2 linked regions of the Drosophila melanogaster genome follow. The protein of the gene in region 1 interacts with the protein of each later gene in a pairwise test. Each region holds a gene or a part of one and is shown in the gene's direction. Other genes may lie near its edges. The genes, in order: hoe1 and CG14183.

Evidence for each region.
Region 2: the proteins of hoe1 (region 1) and CG14183 interact in a two-hybrid assay, tested with the Drosophila melanogaster proteins (one large-scale study listed by BioGRID).

The regions. Positions count from the first base shown.
Region 1 is NT_033779.5:4,927,933-4,937,057, reverse strand, and holds the start of hoe1 (hoepel1), read left to right. Parts: upstream 1-4,673; 5' UTR 4,674-4,965; coding exon 4,966-5,144; intron 5,145-8,664; exon of another isoform or gene 8,665-8,864; intron 8,865-9,125. Other genes in the region: hoe2 (hoepel2), read left to right, coding at 717-945, 1,148-1,549, 1,623-1,795, 1,873-2,218, 2,274-2,662, 2,720-3,046, 3,099-3,773.
Region 2 is NT_037436.4:20,021,159-20,031,206, reverse strand, and holds CG14183 (uncharacterized protein), read left to right. Parts: upstream 1-3,371; 5' UTR 3,372-3,445; coding exon 3,446-4,181; intron 4,182-4,235; coding exon 4,236-4,560; intron 4,561-4,617; coding exon 4,618-4,907; intron 4,908-4,969; coding exon 4,970-5,126; intron 5,127-5,174; coding exon 5,175-5,438; intron 5,439-5,509; coding exon 5,510-5,667; intron 5,668-5,751; coding exon 5,752-6,335; intron 6,336-6,396; coding exon 6,397-6,501; 3' UTR 6,502-6,520; downstream 6,521-10,048. Other genes in the region: Lamtor1 (late endosomal/lysosomal adaptor, MAPK and MTOR activator 1), read left to right, coding at 2,255-2,335, 2,398-2,561, 2,829-2,962, 3,022-3,092, 3,148-3,240; kug (kugelei), read right to left, coding at 6,722-6,858, 6,920-7,051, 7,225-7,254, 7,568-7,756, 7,815-8,096, 8,159-10,048.

The DNA.
Region 1 (9,125 bases):
TGTAATTTTGTTTTGTACTGCCATATATACAAATAAATTTAAGCAACTGCTAAAATAAAAGGTAATCAATATAGTGAATATTTTCTTAATCAAACATCTTTTTTAGCTTTTACTGTGCCGTAATTAAATGTGAGAAACCTATTTTGGCAGCCTAAATAATATGCATAAATTCTGTTATAATGAGCGAACCAATACAGTGGCTAATCCGTTTTTTCCCGAAGATTCAATAGGAAAAACGGACCACATGTCGTATGAGCAATTGAGTCCAACTAAGATCGGGGATGGCAAAAATTAATGGGTCAAGTAAATGCGTCTCAATAAGCCATTGTGTGGGTGCATAATGCAAACTTGTTGATAGGAATTGTGCCACCCCCGAATGAGGCGAGCAAAACATGGGAATCCACAAGAATATTTCGGCGCCTGCGCCATCCTGGAAATCGGCGAATATAAAGCTCCGTGGGACCGAAGGTCGGTGGGTGGTACGATGGCGATGGTTTTCACTTTCAATATTGAAAGCAGCGCCGGCGGCTGAATGGAAACCGAAACCCCGCAACTGCGTCGCGTCCGATTCGGATTTATATTCAGTCGCATTGTGCCTCGCGTGCGGCAAAGATGTCCGCGACCACACCTCGCTGACGACCATCTGTGAAATCTGTGGAAAAGCTCCCACGCTCCGTCAACCGATTTCCTCGCACTTCCCGCCGATTACCAGCAACATGGGTCTGCGGGACACCATTCGTAACCTACGGCCGGCAAGTCCCGGCCGGGAGAAGTCATCGGGCATCGAGCTGCAGCAGCGAAGTCCGCGAGGTGCATGCCACCACAATCAGGTGGCCGCCGTCCAGGTCACGGAGCAATCATTACAGGTATGGCGCGCACTGCCAGCAGAGATTCGCCACGATCCCAGCATGGCCAGTTTTCAGATGGAGAACGAGAGAATCCATGGTGAGTGAAGGGTGTCATTTGAAATTTATGGATGCCTATAGAAAAAATATTAATATTATTTTTCCTCTTTGCTCAGTACTAAGCCATATAGCTAAGCCATAGCCTTTAAATCAATAAACTGTCATACAAATGTCAATCCATTCCCTTGCTCAATCCACGACATAGATAGCTGGTTAATTACGTGACTGCCACTCACTTTTAGGTTCCTCCGGCGGCGCCACTGACGACGAGGATGAGGATGGATACGAGGAGGTGGATATGAAGAACGTCAGTCGCATTCAGGATGAGCCCGGCTCAAGCTTTGCCGGCTCCGACTTTCTGGACATCAAGAACAGGCCTGGTGATGAGAATGCCACCGACGATGAGGTCACCACCCACTCCGATCACGAAGCGGCCAATGGTGGTCCGGGTAATGCCAAATCACAGGCCCGCCGGATTCATCACAAATCCAAGCGTTCCAAGGAGCAGCGACAGCGGGACAAATTGTGGAAACGGGGTGGACTACTTGTATTTTGGATCCTGTCGGCAGTGGTGCTGATTTCGGTGGGCGAAAAGCATCTGCTGGAGAAGACCATTGATGTGCCAATGGGCGAGGAGGGAAAGTGTGAGTTTCCATCTATTTAGTTGATTTATTTTTATTTTTTTAATTTACATTGGAACATTGTTTTTCTAATTAGTTTTCAAGCTGCTCCAAAAACCCACTGGTGACTTCCGCTTGAAGATTCATGGCGCTTTTAGAGAGCTCTCCACGCTGGATGCCCCCGAAAATGAGACTTTGAGCTTTGGATTTCTGACTGTGCAGCCACAGGTGTCCACTTACATTGGCGAGAATCACAGCCAGGTGTTCCAGGTGAGTATTACATAACTACTGCACAATCGAATATAAAGTTGGCAAGATGTAAGCTTTTTTTTTTTTGGATTTTTCAGGATATACTTCCAGCGTGGCGTTTACCACTGCTCTCCGAGGAGGAACTGATGCTGCGTGCTCCGGCTGTGACCACCAATCGCACCTACCAGATGACTCAGGAGTTAGATGAAATGTTGGCTGGAAAGAACAGCGAATTTCGCTTGCATATCTATAGCGATGTGGAGGTGGATTTGGCCATTGTTCTGAACTATAATCCCTTGATAGTGAATGCCAGGACAGGGAGCATCCTGGCTGGTGTAATCCTGCTAATCTTCTATGCACTGCTTGTTTGGGAACTCTTCGAAAGAACCTTTGTGGCCATGATATGTTCCATTCTTTCGGTGACGACTCTAGCCTGTTTTAATGGTTGGTTACAGAACCCGGGTATTTCTTCATTTCTTAATTATTTGAAATTCCCCAGATCGTCCCAATATGGATGAGATTATCCAGTGGATGGACATGGAGCTACTGACTCTACTCTTCTGCATGATGCTGCTCATTTTGATACTGACTGAAACTGGCGTATTCGACTACCTGGCCGTATTTTGTTTCGAGATATCGGGTGGCAAGATCTGGCCCATGATATATAGTCTCTGTTTGGTCACCTGCCTGGTGTCCAGTGTGCTGGACAACATGACAACCGTGCTGCTCCTGACCCCAGTGGCAATCCGATTGTGCGAGGTAATGCAGTTGGATCCCCTGCCCGTGGTGATGGGCATTATAGTGCATGCCAATATCGGAGGAGCCCTGACGCCCATCGGAGATCCCATCAGTATTATAGTCAGCACCAATCACTTTATTGTGGATAATGTGGGTATAACATATAGGTTATGCAAGCTGTTATATAGATTTCCCCTACCTTTTCAGGATGTAACTTTTCCCACATTTGTGGCCCACACATTTCCAGGTGTCATTCTAGCAGTTATTCAAAGTTGTGTGTACCTGCGCCTCTTCTATCACAATATCGATGCACTGCGTCTCAATGAGCCCAAGGAGATGAGTGAGCTGCGTAGGGAGATGAAGGTGTGGCAGAGAGCCTTGAATGCAGTGGCCTCCTGTTCCAAGGATGCCCAGCTGGTGAGGGGAACGCTCCAGGCTAAGATTAAGCAACTGAAAAGGACCCTTAGAAGATTGCAAAAAGGTGTGGGCTCCACGGAGGTCTATACGAATACGCTGGACGAGCTCAAGCAGAAAGTAAGTGGATTTACTGAACTGGGATCTTTATAGCTGAGCAATCCATTTCCAGTACCCCATCAAAAACAAGACGCTGCTTTTGCAATCCGCTGGAGCCCTACTCTTCGTCATTGTTTGCTTCTTCATCCAATCCGTGCCGCACTGGAGGACATTACCCCTGGGTTGGGTGGCCCTGCTGGGTGTGATCCTGCTGCTGATCATCCTCAATCGCGATGACATGGAGCACTTGATGCACCGCATCGAGTGGACCACGCTGCTCTTCTTCGCCGCCATGTTCGTGATGATGGAATGCGTGGAGAGATTGGGAATCTTCGCCTGCATCAGTGAGCTCACCGAGCACGTTATCCTTTCGGTGGGAAAGAGTCATCGTCTGGCCATGGCCATCTTTATGATATTATGGATGTCGGCGCTGGCATCATCCATATTGGATAGTATTCCGGTGGCAGCCATAATGGTGAAGCTGGTGACCTCTCTGGTGGCCAAGCCATCGCTGGGACTGCCCCTCCAGCCACTGGTTTGGGCTCTGACCCTGGGCGCTTCGATGGGCGGAAATGGAACGCTCTATGGCGCATCAGCCAATGTCATTGCAGCCGGAATTGCCGAGCAACATGGCTATAAGTTGTCCTTCACCCGATATCTGAGAACAGTTTTTCCCATGATGCTGGGACAGATCACCCTGATGACTGTCTATCTACTGGTGGCGCATGTGGTCTTTGAATGGCATTGAGACTCCCTATTTAATACACATACTGAATAACATATTATTGTATCTAATGATGGAAAATGTTTTTCACTTCGAATCTAATCGTGTGTTTTTTTGTGTGAGTTTTACTGTAGTCTTTGTCCTTTTACATTCGCCTCTTGATGTGTTTCATGTGTTTTTGGCATATAAAATAAGAATATTTATATTTAAGCGTTCATTTGTGATTGGCAAATGTATAAAAATATACCATAAATATAAAAGTACACATGGTTTTTCGTTCGCCTTCGTGGAATTTGGCTGGACTGATGGAAATCACTTTTGGTAGTCCATCAAGGCGGTGTTTTTAATGTCGTGTGAAATGTTATAAATTTAGACTTTATTGTCTAAGGTCGAAGTGGGGAAATCGTGAAAATTCAACAGGCCATAAATACAAAACGAAGGAAAATTATAGATTTGATTTTCAAATTTCAATAAGAGGCAGTTCTACAAGTATTTAGATACATTTAAAATTCGAAGCGATGTCTGTATTTTAGAGATTTCAAAGCACAATATAAACATATAATAAGTTAAATTATAAATATCATAATTCTCGTGTTTTCTAGTTTATCCCATATGCACCTTGGTTTGGAAAACATAAACAAACGTAAATAATTCCTGAGACTGACCATTGCCAAGTTCAATGTTGACCAGAATATCCGCATATGAAAGTGCTTGCATGTACATATACATATATATTAAAAGCGAGTATATAGCATATAGTATATGGAAAGAAGACAACTGCTGGTCAATAAATGAGAATAAGACAATGTGGAAAAGCAGCGAGGGATTTCCTCGGGTGGTTGTTGCTATTTATTTGCTCTGCTACTGCTGCGCTTTCCACACTTTCCACAGCGCTCGTTCCATAGGTAAATTGTATTTTAAGTTCACAAACAAATGGCCACGAGGGATTGCGAATGGAGGAGGTGAAACGGAGGACCCGACCTGTCCGCCATGTGGAGAGGAGACTGCCAGCAGTTTTATGGCAGCCGCGAGAGGGAAAGTCGTGCCGACAACGACTGACTGAATTTTAATTAATTTGCGCCAAGGAATAAAGTGAAAATTGGAAATTGGCTTATTTGGCCCAGACTGGCCGCCCTGCAGGCCAAATAAAAATGTGATAAGCGTACGAAATTACGCCGAAATCGAGTTGGTTTTTTTTTTTGTAAGGTGAACCAAGATGACATCTCCCTATGGATACAGTAAGCCCACCTTTATGATAACGGACCACACTCGCGATCCGTATCATCTGCAGCCGGGTGATGACGACGACGATCGGGATGAGGATGAGGAGCGTCAGACGAAGCTGCAGGAGATCATCAGTTGGCTGCACTTGAATGCCAAGCATCGCAGCAAATGGTAAGTCGGCCGCATCAAGTATACGCCGCGGGTGGCCCATGCAAGTCAGCTTATATTGATATTAAGTATACGCCCGGTTGGCCACCGCCACTCGAAGTTTGAGTTGTTTATTTGCCCGGTTCCGTTTTCTCATTAGCCTGGCATTAAATTGTGCTGCAGGAGATGATGGACCCAAAACTTTTCCTTTTAATGTCCTGCTAAGCTTCTTAATAACGGTCCATTGGTTGCGACTTGTTTGTTTTCCGAGATGAAATCAACTCGAGGACATTTTGTGGATTTTAAGCCGCTGAGAGCCGCAACAGATGGTTTCCATTGAGATTGATTACAATTTATTTGTTTTTTAGTTGAAGCAGACACAGCAGTTTGTATATTTCATACTCCATATGCGTTGGAATTCCAGCAGAGTAATAAATGCGCTTTTCTTCGAAACTCTGATTGAAATGATACTCCTAATCCGAATTAATCATGTTTTTGTTTTGTTAGGGATTTTTTCCATTAGCTTGTGGTTATAACAAAATGCCAGGCACGAAGGTATTGTTGTATGCAATTTGTGTGAATAATTCGAAGAATAGTTGGCATATACCCATTTCCAATCCAAGCCAATCTTTTGTTCGAGCAATTCGCTTCTGGGAACTACCATTCGATATAGGTTGCTTATAATCGATAATGTAATACCTTGGACACGTGCAAAATAAACTGAAGTACGCAGTGCAATGTGGAGATTATAAATAAACAATGGGGAATAAATATTGACTTGCGTTGCATTATATTATTTTATTTATAGTTCTCTATTTCCGTTGGCAAATACGTGGTTCAGCAGCCTCCGCAGCTGTTTGTAGGTTTTTTTGTATTAAGTTAAGCATTCGAATTAAGTGTCGTATTCAAATTAGTGCACTCACTCCCACACAAAAATTATCGGTGTAGTGAAAACCTAGGGTAATGCGAATTACATACGCAGTTGGTCCTCAATTAAAAGTTCCGCCTTGTTAATTAACAATTAAAGGGAAAACTCGAGACGGTAAATCACTGAGTTCTCTGGTTTATAGCGCAGTTACACTTGGTTGCAATAGAGAAGGCTGCTCATAAATATACAGGGTGTGTGGAGTCGACTTACATACTTGGGAGCATTATAAAGCATTCATAAACAACGAATAATAAACAACAAAATATGTACAATAAGCAACAGAATTTCATACAGAAAATGATATATTTATATAAACTTAACGATTTTTCTTATAACTAGTTTCCGGGACACCCTGTTTCCATTTGACATATTCTTGACAATCAAACCTGAAGTGAGCTTAGCTTATTATATAAGCGCTCGTTATTTACATAATTATTGTTTATTTACTCACGCTGAGCATTTGTTGTATACATCTACGTCTTGACCATGTGTAGAATCCACTAAGTACTGTATGCATATTGGTTGCAATTAATTTGCATTTTTGCATTGGCTGATACCAAGTAATTACAGCTAACACATCGATAATTGCCGTTGGCCAATTGGCAAAGTTTATGGATACTAAAGAAAAGAGGGAAGGGTTAAATACAGTTGGGATTATGGGCTATAAGTTATTCGCACTGACAGCTAAACACTTTGATGTGGCTGCCCATTTTTACGCTGACTTTCTGACAAGCAAATGAAAAGTCATTCAGTAGTTTCAAGTCCACCCAGAACCACGTGATCCCTCCACGGAACATGCAACCCAAGTTTGGTGGTCCCACGATGACATACATATATGTATGTAGAGATATGTGTGGAAACTTGTCAATGGTTTGTTGGGTGGGTAGCTTGGTGGCATGAAGGAGGTGCGAATAACTATCCCTGTACATGAGGGTTTTCCGCTCACAATTTTCCAACAAACTGTAAATACACTTTTTCTGGTTGCCAAGGGATGAGCTTAGGGGCTGTAAAAGTTCCGGCTTGAATTTGGAATGTACTATGTGTCTCTATGGGGGCCAACCTTTGAGGCACAATTGAGTGGAAATGAATTATGTATTAGTTGTTATTATGAAATGGAATGTACTCAATAGCTTGGCTTATGTGGTATTACAGTTTTCAACCAACTATATTAATGTATTAAGAACGGAAATGTTAAGAGAAAGTAACTGCTGATAGCATTTAACCCATATAACTCCGAATCAACTGCACCCATGCCCCATATTATTCAGATGGATAAGCCGCAGAGACCTTGGGCGAAGATACAATTGTTATTGGAAGAAACACACCTATTGCGTCTCACTGTGGATATCATCAGCGTTATTATTACTATTATTGCCATCGTCTTATTGAATGTGGGTGAGGAAAATTGCGGAATAAAAGAGCATTAATATTCCAGCTTTAAAGTCGCTCAAATGTCAAACGGCTCGTGGCGAGAAATAATATATATATACACGAGTTCACTTTGAGTTCCTTGGAGTGTGTTTGCGTTTCATTGTCCGTGGCATTAGGGTTTTTGGGATTCGGATTGGGTCTCGCATTTGGATTGAGTTGGGGCACAGCAGAAGCTGTTTGCTGATAAACTCGCCTTTTGTCTGCCCATACAGAAGATACAAAAACGTACGAGAATGTGGCACACAAACCACACATGCAAATGGAACCGCGCGTGGACGTCTATATTGTCGGAATTGGAAGCTTCAGTGGGATTTATCAACTTTGGCCTATAAATAAACAAGCGGACGGCCTTAAATTTGATAAAGCTGCCTTTTTCTGCAGATTTCACTTTCGTTTCTGAGAAAGCCTCGAGAGCTTTCGGCGTGATTCTCTTAGTTACATACTCGTAAATGCTGTATCGTCTCATTTCCATGACTATTTTTGGGCTGTATGACAAGTGATTTAAATTCGCACTAATTGCTCGACCGGTTGCTCGTGGCTTCTAAGCTCTGAATAGCATTAAGTCTACCGATTAATTGAGCAGACTTAAGTTGGAGTAAACAAATGATTAGATTGTGTGAATCACATGTATTTATTGCAGATTCACCACCCATAATAACTTATTGAATACAAAATATTTTCAAGACATTAGACAGAAACAAAGGTAACCAATAGTAACCGAATATATATGTTATTATTAGACTTAAGTGACTTAAGGTTCTATAAAATAATAATTAGCTATAATTAACCACCGATACAAATTAGTTGTGCGTGAGATACTTTTAAAGCACTCTTCTCATAAAATAAACAACTAAAATTCTGCCGGTCTAAAAGACGCAAGTTCAAGTTGTTGGCCATTGGAATCCGAGCGATTCCAGCTGAAAAAAAAACCTCGAGGCATTCAACAGCTATTGAAAGCAGCCAAGTTCCATTCAATTCTCGGCGGCGCTTTCAATGCGCCGTTCAACCGAAAACAGCTGCGACTTCGGCGCCGCACGAAGTAGCAACATGAGTATCGGAATAAGTAGCTATAGCTACGCCTGCATGGCATCGGATCGGCATCGGATGGGCATCGGATGGGCATCGGAATCGGAATCGGCAGTAACCGGCTGAAATAACTAGGAACGCGGCGCCGAGTCCGCAGATTTATTCAGTTTACAACTTTCGCTCGAAACGGACGTGCGACTTTGTCCGGCAATCCGCGTTCGAGTGGCAAACAATAGCTATACAAATAAATAGTAATCAAACAAGCGAGTGCACAATAGGGGCATAAAACAACAACAAGAGAAAAAAAAAGTAATTCAAACCTAAAGTGAGCTTATCATCGAATCTAACTTCTTAAGCAAGTGAGACTTTTCTTGGAAAGTTCAGGGTTGTGGCTGCAGCAGGTCGCTAGACAATCTAAAGGAGATAAAGGCACATTTAATTATGGAAATTTTTCCTTTGTTTCACGCGTATTTCCAGTTTCTTATTACCTCGGGATAATTTTGCTCATTAGGCGGGCCCAAAAAGAAGCAATTCCTTTGCATTAAGCGTTCCTAATTAGTCTGCTTCTGACTTTCTGAATAATTGCCTAGCGTCTGGTGACCGCAATGCACATCTATATA
Region 2 (10,048 bases), on another chromosome or scaffold:
TGGAGTTGTGGGACGCACAACTTACACGGAAAGAAAATTAGATGTCATATGGTCAGTACATAGACTCTATCATTTCGGATTCATGCATTATAAGCAAATCTAGTATAACACCTTTGACATAAGTGAAAAGGGAACAAATCCTTGTTAGAGTATTAATTCAAATCCAGTATATATATCGACCCTAACTTTCTTACAGCGCAGTTTGCAGATGCGTCCGCCCAGCAAAAATGTAAAGTCTTGTGCATAAAAGTGTTGTTCTTCCCGCTGTAAGTTTGCGCGGCACTATTTATCCGCCGAAGTGGAGGTGGACGGAGGACTATGTGGCCTCCGGATGCCTTGCGCTTTGCATACTGAAACCGCTGTGGTGCCGCACTTCTGCGGCAGGACGAGGGTATGGGTTTTGGGGGCGTGGCTCCGATAATCCGCAGCTATTCGATGTAAACTGCGTTTCTTTGTCGATGCAACAATGAGCCGGAGAATTCTGAACCTGAAACTGGCTGGAAGTCGAAGGCCCTAGATAAAACACCAGCTGAATCCAATCAGCGGCGACTGGTGCCACCCCGTGGGCAATCAAGTGGCAAACTGCTTCGCGGGTGCTCATTAAGTCGTTAATGTGGTTGAGGTTTTTTGCCTACAGTTCCGCCGAACCACGCCCATCCAGACCAAATGAGCTAGCAGAAATTGAACTTTGCAAAGCCATCAAATTAAATAAATACTGAATATAGTGTTTCCTCACAAGTGAAATGCTAAATGCTCTTAGCATAAAAAATAAATATAATTTATTAAAAAAATTTTATGTATAATGCATAATTTGTATATAATATTTGTTTTCCTGGCTGGTTAGTATATCATCATAAATCTAAAAACAATGGACTTACTCAGCTAATGAGCTGTCTAGATAAAACCCAACATCCTCGAAGGAAATCCCTTAGATGGCGTATCGCAAAATGACGATGTAAGATGCCTATTCCCGGTCGGCAAGCCGCAGACATATGCACCTCCTTAGATGTACTGATCGATATCCTTTGGGGCCGTGTGCAGGCGCAGGATAATTGAATTTGAAGTGAAGCTGCTCCTTGTGGCAGTTATGAAATTTCTAGCCCGGCTTCCGCTGCCAGGGAACGGAAACAAAAGCGGGGCAAAACGAAGTTACAAGTTGCCAGCAAGTGTGAGTGTGCGTCTGGCTCAATATATGGGCATGGTGCCGGGTCTGGAGGTGGCGCAAAGGATCAGGATGCGATGACGAGGCCCACATCAGTGCTGCCAGGAGGAGACAATAAATTCACTTAGGCGGCGGAAACAGAAGAACAAACTGAAGGGAAAACTCAATAAATTAGACCGTATTGGAGAGAAAAACTGTTTTTTAACGGCCATATTAAGTTTTAAATTCTTATGAATCTTGAACTTTTTCACTCTACGTAAGATATTCGAAGAACATCAGCCCATTCAGAAACCCCAATATTACACATTATGTTATTATGGTTTTACATTTTTCAGAGGTTCTTCTTGTGGAAAGGATAGCAAAAGCTGTCAGCACTGCCACACATGCCCCCATGTCATGCAGCCTCGGCAATGAATTTGCGTTTCCGCCTCGCCGCTTTCGCCATCATGGTTAACCGCGTCGTTGATTTAAGGGCGTTCTCCGTTCCTTGCGAGTAGCTGGCGTACTCCGCATCCTTTGTCCTTACTGCTCGAGCGACACAATTAAAAATGTGCGGCCCAATTCATTTGATTGGCACGAAGGAAGCGACGAGATAAGCAACTTCCGTTGGCTGAAATTTTGGCATCTTCATCAATCAAGAATGTGCTCGTTCTCGTGGGCTGGCTGTTGGGGAAAATGTCATATAGGTTGATAGAAAAAACAGCAATATAAATATTTCAAATTAATAATTGATGTCTACCAAAAGCAGTTAAATTTTTTAATATCTTCACAATTATTGCCGATTTCCAATAAAAATATAACAAATTAATAAAGTATAAATTTAAATCAACTTAATTCCCAATAAAAAGTATTTCATAATAAATAAAACAAGGATAACGCTAGGAACAGTAAGTAATAAACTAGTATTCCCTTATGAAAACCCATGAATTTAATGTCCGATTAAAATTGTAATATTTAGCGCCTAATCGATAACAAGTATGTATACAGCTGTTTTAAACTGTCTGGTAGCACTGATCTTATCGAATATGTACAATTCCATCCCTAGAAAAACTTGCATAAAAAATAAAGAACAATTGAACAATTGCATTTAGAATGGAGTATGTGCACTCTGTTTGGAGCTACCTAGCCTCGATCTGCAACTGCTGGCAATGCACCGAAGATCCAGGTGCGCAGGTAATCCGCACATTCCCCTTTCCCCGTCAACAGACCGAATACACAATGCGTTCCATCTGCAGCCCAACGAGCCGAACGAGCGGACACACCTTCTCGTGGACCCGGTGAACCATAGTCCTGCCCTTCGACGGAGCAACTCCGATGGCCTCAGCACCGACTACGCCCACTCCCTTCCCAAGAAGGACGATCAGAACGCCCTCTCCAGACTGGTGCAGAATACTGCGATGTACGTAGTTGATAGTGTATAGGGTCCACATTTGGCACTATCATATACAATTCCATTGATTGGAATGCTAGCATTTTACAGCGATTGCTATACTATACTATACTATAGTAGTATACCTACGTAGTTATAGCGATGGCAGGATCTAGTATGTAGTATGGTTATACCCAAGCATTTATCGGGATGTTCAATGCAACAAAGCAACACAGCCCTAATTATCGCTTATCTATATTATATTTGTATTCGCTTATACGCTACTTTGCTCTCCAGAAACATGATAAACGTTGGAGCCATGGACTGTCACAGCCTGGAGCACCAGGAGTACGCCGATAGAATAAGATTGTACTCGCAGCGGTTGCATCAACAGTGGAACAACGGCCAGCACGCCAGTATCGCACCAAAAGGTTTGCAATATAGCTAGATTGAAAGGGTGAATGATGACTAACAATTAAATGAACAACAGGTCTCCTTAAAGATGTACCAAGCCATCAGTTCTATCTGTCTAAGCCAACCTATCCAGATGACACTGCTCAAGTGAGTTTTACTTTTCGCAAATTGCTTGTTGCTTACCAATTTCGTATGTTTTTAGATGAAGCTCTTCACCGAGAAGGCACACATCAGTGTCTCGCACATACAGATCGACCACAAAGAGGCCGTGGTTGTTCCCTTCCGGATTCCCTGATTATCGTATCTTAAGTGAAATAAAGTGATAAATTTATATAAAATCAAAATCTATATTGGTACTAAGTAGCCCTTGAATAACCAGGTAATCGACTTATTTTCATTAAGTGTACAGAAGCAAATAAATACATACTATATTCTTAACACGGCAAGACATTTTTTTTATTTAGGAAGGCACACACACACACATATAGCTAAAATCCAAAATGTCGTTCGATCTTAACCATAAATTTTGGGTCTACACGCGCAAGGAAATTGGTAAATTAATCAAGAAGCAGAACCGCCTGAAGAAGATTGAGCCGCCAGAGGAAAAGGCAGTATCGTATAAAATTTACGCAGAGCTCTATGTTTTGTATGTGGAGCTGGTCAATAAGTTAAGTTTCATATACCACAATACTTTCCAAGTGCAAAAGCGGGCATTGGTACGTGTTTTGGTGGAGAATGCCACTCAGCAGCTAATGCAACTCAAGGAGGAGTTAAAAGACTTGGAAATGAGCGAATACATTTACATAGATAAGGCGCTGATCGCTAGGAAGCTAACACCACGGGACCTGGTCGTATGGAGGTCACCACAATTCCTTTACCGTCGCCCGTTGGACATTCAAAATATCATTGCCGACAACCGATTGTACATGAACGATGAGGAAAAGGAAGAAAAGGCAGCCCAGGATTGGGTTCCGATCAGTGAGGCGGTCAAGCTTATCCAAGCTCACGAGAGGGCGCGCCGAGCTCGGGTTTACAAGTCCAACATAAAGTACGACAAGAAAAAGTTCCTCAAGGTCCATCAAAGAAAGAAAATAAATTACAAATTCACCTTTAAGCCTGATCAGGCAATGAGTATTCCCGTGAAGAGAACCATTTTTTCAGCTGACTTCTTGAAGGCGGACGAGTCCTGCGAAAATCTTATCAAAAAGGATGATGTAGCGGATACCGCAATAGATGGCAAGTAGCTAGATCGTTTCAAAACAATTAATTTGGTTTTTAATTATTTTCTAGATGAGGAAGCCTTAAGTGCAATACAGAACAATGCTGCTTGTAAAATCCAAAGTTGTTGGCGTGGTTACAAGACGCGGAAAATAGTTAAGATTAGGAAGCGGTTCAAGGAGGAATTGTATGGTATGAAGAAAATTAGGAAACTGAAGCGACCCAATCAGACGGCAAATTCTATTATGGAAATGTACAAGAACGAGATGCTCAAGAAGAAGCTGGATGAGGACTTCATCAACTTGATCAACGATGAGCGCACCCGATTGCTGCAATTCCGAAGTCCATGGATGATGGAAGATATATCCGATCATATCCGGGCATGGTTCAAGGAATTGTGAGTTGTTTTTCATTGAGGCAAAAAAGGCAAAAACGTATAACTCGTACTTAACAGCTACGACGCGACTGGGAATTTTCATCCTTATCCCGATCCTGTAAAACAAGGAACGGTACTGGTTGTCATTGATGAAACAATGACGCCAATGGAATTTCAGGAAAGCCTTGGTAAAAAGCCGCTGTCAAAAGCCGAGTTGAAGAAACTTCGCGATAAGGAGAAGAAAGAGAAAAGGAAAAAGAAGGAAAAGCTAAAACAACTGAAAATGAAGGAAGCTAAACGTCGGAAGAAATTGAGAGACGCTGGAGTCATCGATATTGGCTACGAGCTAACTGCAAGCAAGGCAATTGGTAGATAGTTTGACTTAATGGAGAATGTTTCCATTGTCTCCAAATACTCTCTTCAATTTTAGAAAACATTGAAGAAACAATGAAGAAGTACTCCAAGGACTGGAGAAATGTCGATGAATATCTAAACAAGAATCATGATCCCATCAAGGAATGGGTTACTGAGGAGCAACTGGCAAAGATTCATCAGGAAGTGAGGGGCTTGGTCGACGAATACATGAGGTAAATTTATTTATATTTACAATGAAAATATAACTTTTCAACTTCCAGGGTTGAGTATGAGTTGCTGCGGGAGGCCTTGGCGAAGGATAACGATGAGAAGTACAAGGCTCTCAAGGTGAAGTATCCTAAGAAGAAGAAGGAGAAGAGGAAGAAGAAGCCCAAGGACATGACAGGCGATCGGACACTGGAATCCCTGTACAATGAGCTCAAAGATGCCGGCATAATAGAGGAAATTGGTCATAGGGACTTTGATGAGTTCATAACGGACTTCAACTTTGTGGCAGACGACACTCGAGATGAAGATGGCTTAACGTATGTTGTAGTTATTTGTTGAAAGAGCTACTAAGCCTAACAAAAAAAATTAATATCGATTTAAAATTCAGCACATTGGGCCCAGCAAAGGGTGACATTAAAATGGTTATCCAAGAGTCGATGCTGGGAATGGGCGAATTCGATGTTCCGAAGCCGAAGTCTCTTTTGCTAATTGGACCTCTGAATAGCGGAAAACGATTGCTGTGTGAAATCATTGCATCCGAACTAGGTATAGTAACATTTTGTTGGGAATTGTTCTTTTTTTTTTTTTTTTTTTTTTTGTCGGAGCACTTAAACCTTCTGTCTACTCCAGATGCAGTTTTTATGAACCTAAGTCCCGAGAATACCTACAAATATGCCAAAGACTTGAAGTACTTCCTGCATGTTATTCTAAAAGTGGCTAAGGCTTTTCAGCCCACCATAATGTACATCGAGGAAGCGCATAGACTATTTTGGAAAAAGGTTCCGCCTGAGGCAGTGGAGATTAACCCCAGACTGCTGGGCACCTCGTTAGCTAGCAAGATCTTGAAACCACTGAAGAAAAATGACAAAATTGTACTAGTCGGCACGAGTAACATGCCCTGGGCGGCCAATGGAGGCATCAAGCGAGCGTTCCAAAAAGTACTGCTTATTCCGAAGTGCGATTACGGCACTAGCTTCCTGCTGTGGCTGGAACTGATGACCGAGAACGCGCCAGATGACATGAAGGAGTACGCCTACTCGGCACTGGCACGCGTCCTTCAGGCGTACAACTCCGGCGACATTGATGATAACGTTAAGGAGACCTTGAACATCGACCGTAAGATGCGACTCAAGAATGAGGCATTGGATCCGAACGAGTTCCTTGAATATTTCCTGAGCAAGAATGAGCCTCCCATTTTCCCTCCAGATGAGAAGGTATACTTGCTTACTTAATACATGTTTAGCAACTAAGTCATTTAACTGAAATTCTTTTTAGATAATGGATAAGTTCAATAAATGGTTCGGCAGCTCAAACAAGCTGGAAAAGCTGAGAAAATCGTATATGGCTCAAAAGTTGGCGAAGGCAAGCAAAAAGAAATAAATAAATCAGTTTAAAACTTATTTAAATATGCATTTTCATATATAACTATTTGTAAGTGTAAACTTACCTTGGCCTTAAACTAATGATACTATGGAAGTGCAGATGTTCTTTGTGTCTTTTTTATTGAAAATATATAACCAAAGTTTTCCTATGGAAAATAGTATCTAACGAAATGAAATAATTTGTGTAAAATGTAGTTCTTATATATTAAGCATGTCATTTAATTGTTTGTTTGTTGTTGTGGTAAAAACTCCTCCAACTCAGAATCTTCAATTTCACACAGTCGAACCGAAATGTTGCTGTTGGATCCAATTTCTCCGACAGTGCATGGAAATAGGTATGCCTCCTCTGAATTTTCTGCATAATTAGAGAGAATCGTGATATTTGTAAGATATGTAAAGGCATTTCCCTTGCTTACCACTTATCGTCCTCCTGGTTTTTATTTCCATCCTAGAAATCGGCCCCTCGGTCATAGAGCTTTCCCCATCGGTCTCACTTGGAAAATGCATCGTCGGTAAATACGAATCAGGATGTCTTAAATATACTTTGCCTGTGGAATAGATCAGATATGGACATTTTGAAGTAAGATTCTTGTAACATTTTATGTGGTTAATATGCAGTAACAAATATTTTTAATTTAATACAGGTTCAGTATAAAAAAAGCATTGACCTAAATTTATAAATAACCATTGGACTATTACTTATAATGAATACAAAACTTACACGAATGACTAACTTTCGACGGTAAAGGCACTGATTGCATGAAATGAAGTAGTTTAATAGGTTAGTATACAAAGATGTTATTTGTTAGAAAGTTTAAAGGAATAACAAAATTACTTATAAGAGGAAAGAGTTAGATATTGTGTGCAATATGTATTAAATAAATTGTTGAAATTATAAAATGAAAAATGAACTGCGATTTTGTAACAGCCAATAAGATAAATCAGCTTGTTATGAACATAAACATGAAAACGTTTAGTGATAATAATCAATTCCTTTTTTTTTTTTTTTTTTTTTTTTTTTGTATTTTATTAGATGCATTTAACATTTTAACGAAGGGTTTTACCTGTATTTGATTTATAGTCTTCATTCTCGATATTATTAAAAGAACTCAGTCTTGAAAGTGGCTGATTACTTGATCTTGGCAACATAAACGGCTCCAAGCAGCTCTCTGCCTCCGAGTCCAAATACTCCGATCCGATATCCTCATTCAACGCGGCTATATCCCTCGTCGGATCAACATCTCCGTCTTCCCCTTTTGGTGGTGAAATCAGTTATTGGTCCGGGAAACGAGTTTTAAATTCTATACTTACTGTGCACGAAAAAGGCTTTCTTCGACTTGGACTCGTTGCTATCGTTGCTGTGTAAGCTCGACGAATCAGCTATTTCTGCTCCAGGAACTTCGGTTATATCTGGCAAGGGATTATGGCTTTTGCGAACCCAGTCGGAACAGTCCCAATGATACTGACCATTGGCAAGAGCTGAATAATCAACGAAATTCGCACTGGAAGAGTGGCACACGTTGGGCATTTCAACTTGGATTAGTTTCCCAGTTGAAAAGCGACTCACAGATGGTCCGAAATCCCGTTTAAGTTCTGAAATAAAGAGCAGGTTAATATTTGCTTTTGCTATCTGACACTAAGAGGCATTGACTTACCATTGTTCAGTTTATTTTCACTGAAGGTTCTTAAATGCATTTGCTCGCACCATTCTTGTTTGTAGGCATTATCTGCATCGGTTGAATGGCAGGAGTTTATGTTCACATGCTGTTTGTTTCGATTAACCTTCTGGTACTCGAATGGCACATTTTCCAGTTCATCGCCGGCCGAACCGTAGCTACGCAAGATGTCTAAGTTATTTACAAAATTCCTATTGCTCAGGACTAGGTTGTCATTTGGAACTGCTGTGTAGCTAATTGGACGCTGGTTAACCTCCAAGTTACTCAACTTTACGTTTGGTTTGCAGTAATTGTCCTTGTCCACCAGTGAGTTCAAGTTCGCCTCCTTGTACGACGACTTGTTCTTGTCCTTTTCTAGTCGGTTCCTTCGCTTTGAAGAGGAACTCCTCTTCAACACCACGCAACACAGGACACAACTGATGATGACCAGTACCACGGCCACGCCGGAAATGATCCCGCTAATGTGCTCTATAGAAAAGTTCTTCAGCTTTGTAGAAATAGAGTTCGAATACAGGGGATCGCCGCAGCTGGCTCCTGTGAGATAAGATGGACAAATGCAACGGAAACTTCCGGGTTCATTGATGCAGGTCGCTCCATTGCCGCACGGCTGGTTCTCGCACTCATCCACATCGATCTCACAAGTGGGTCCCGTGTAGCCGCGGCACATGCAGTGCGATATTCCATCGCCTTCCTCGCAAATGCCACCGTTTTTGCACGGGTTCGGCGTGCAGAACTTGCCGTACTCACACCTCTTTCCGGATAAGTGGATGGGACACGTGCAGCTGTAGTTGTTCGGTCCGTGGTAGTCGCACCTGCCGCCAAACAAGCAGGGTCCCGATGAGCAAGGGTCCAAATCAATCTCGCAATGCTTGCCGGAATATCGGGGCTGACAGGCGCATTCAAACACGTCCGTATCGAGTTCCTTGCAGATTCCACTATTGGCACACGGCTGAGATCCGCAAATGCCCAGGCGCACCAGAACATTCGACGGATCGCACTTGAACTCGACATTCGTAAAACGTTTCAAGGCAGCAATGGTACTCCCACCGGAAATGTACAATGGCAGCGACTCTTTGGCTATTTTGATGTTTGCCATGCAACCGATGAAGCCACGCTGAATATCCTCGTAGCCAATTATCGATGGATGCGGACGAACCTCGGCGCCTACAAAGATATCGTTCGACTGGATGTTCAGGATGCCATTCACACCCGGAGCACTGCCATGGGAGACGTGCTTGTTGTCCACCATCACTTTGGCACTATTGAGGGACCGCTCTAGGCTGATTTGATGCCACTCGCCGTCAGAGATGTTAATGCTGGACACACTGATGACTCCCTCGCCCGAGCCCAAATCGAATCTGTACTGAACAGCTCCGTTTATGATCTCCAGGATGTTGTAGTCCACCTTGCCGCTGGCATACAGCAGAGTCCCAGTTTGTTGCACAGTTCTTATCTGCAGGGAGTAGGAAAACCCGTTTTCCAGCGTGAACTTCGCCTTCACCTTGTTGATCTTGTAGTGGGCATAGCTCTTTCCGCCAAAGGACACCGCAGTGAATAGACCCATGTCACAGGACTCATTGCTGCACTTCGAAGACTTCCGCTCGCAGTAGGTTCCTGAAAATCCCTTGGGACACACACATTGGTAACCCAAAGCCGAGCCAGACGGCATGCAGATCCTCTGCGGGGAACATGGATCCGTGGAGCAGGCATTCACAGTCTCTTTGCAGTGCTTTCCATCGAATCCTGGTCGACAGACACACGTATTCACCGGAATGTAAGATGGAGCAGCAAAACTAATCACATCCGTAAAGGTGGTGGTAACGTTGTTCTTCAGGATCTGTAATATCTGTTTGCATTCCCCGTGAACGC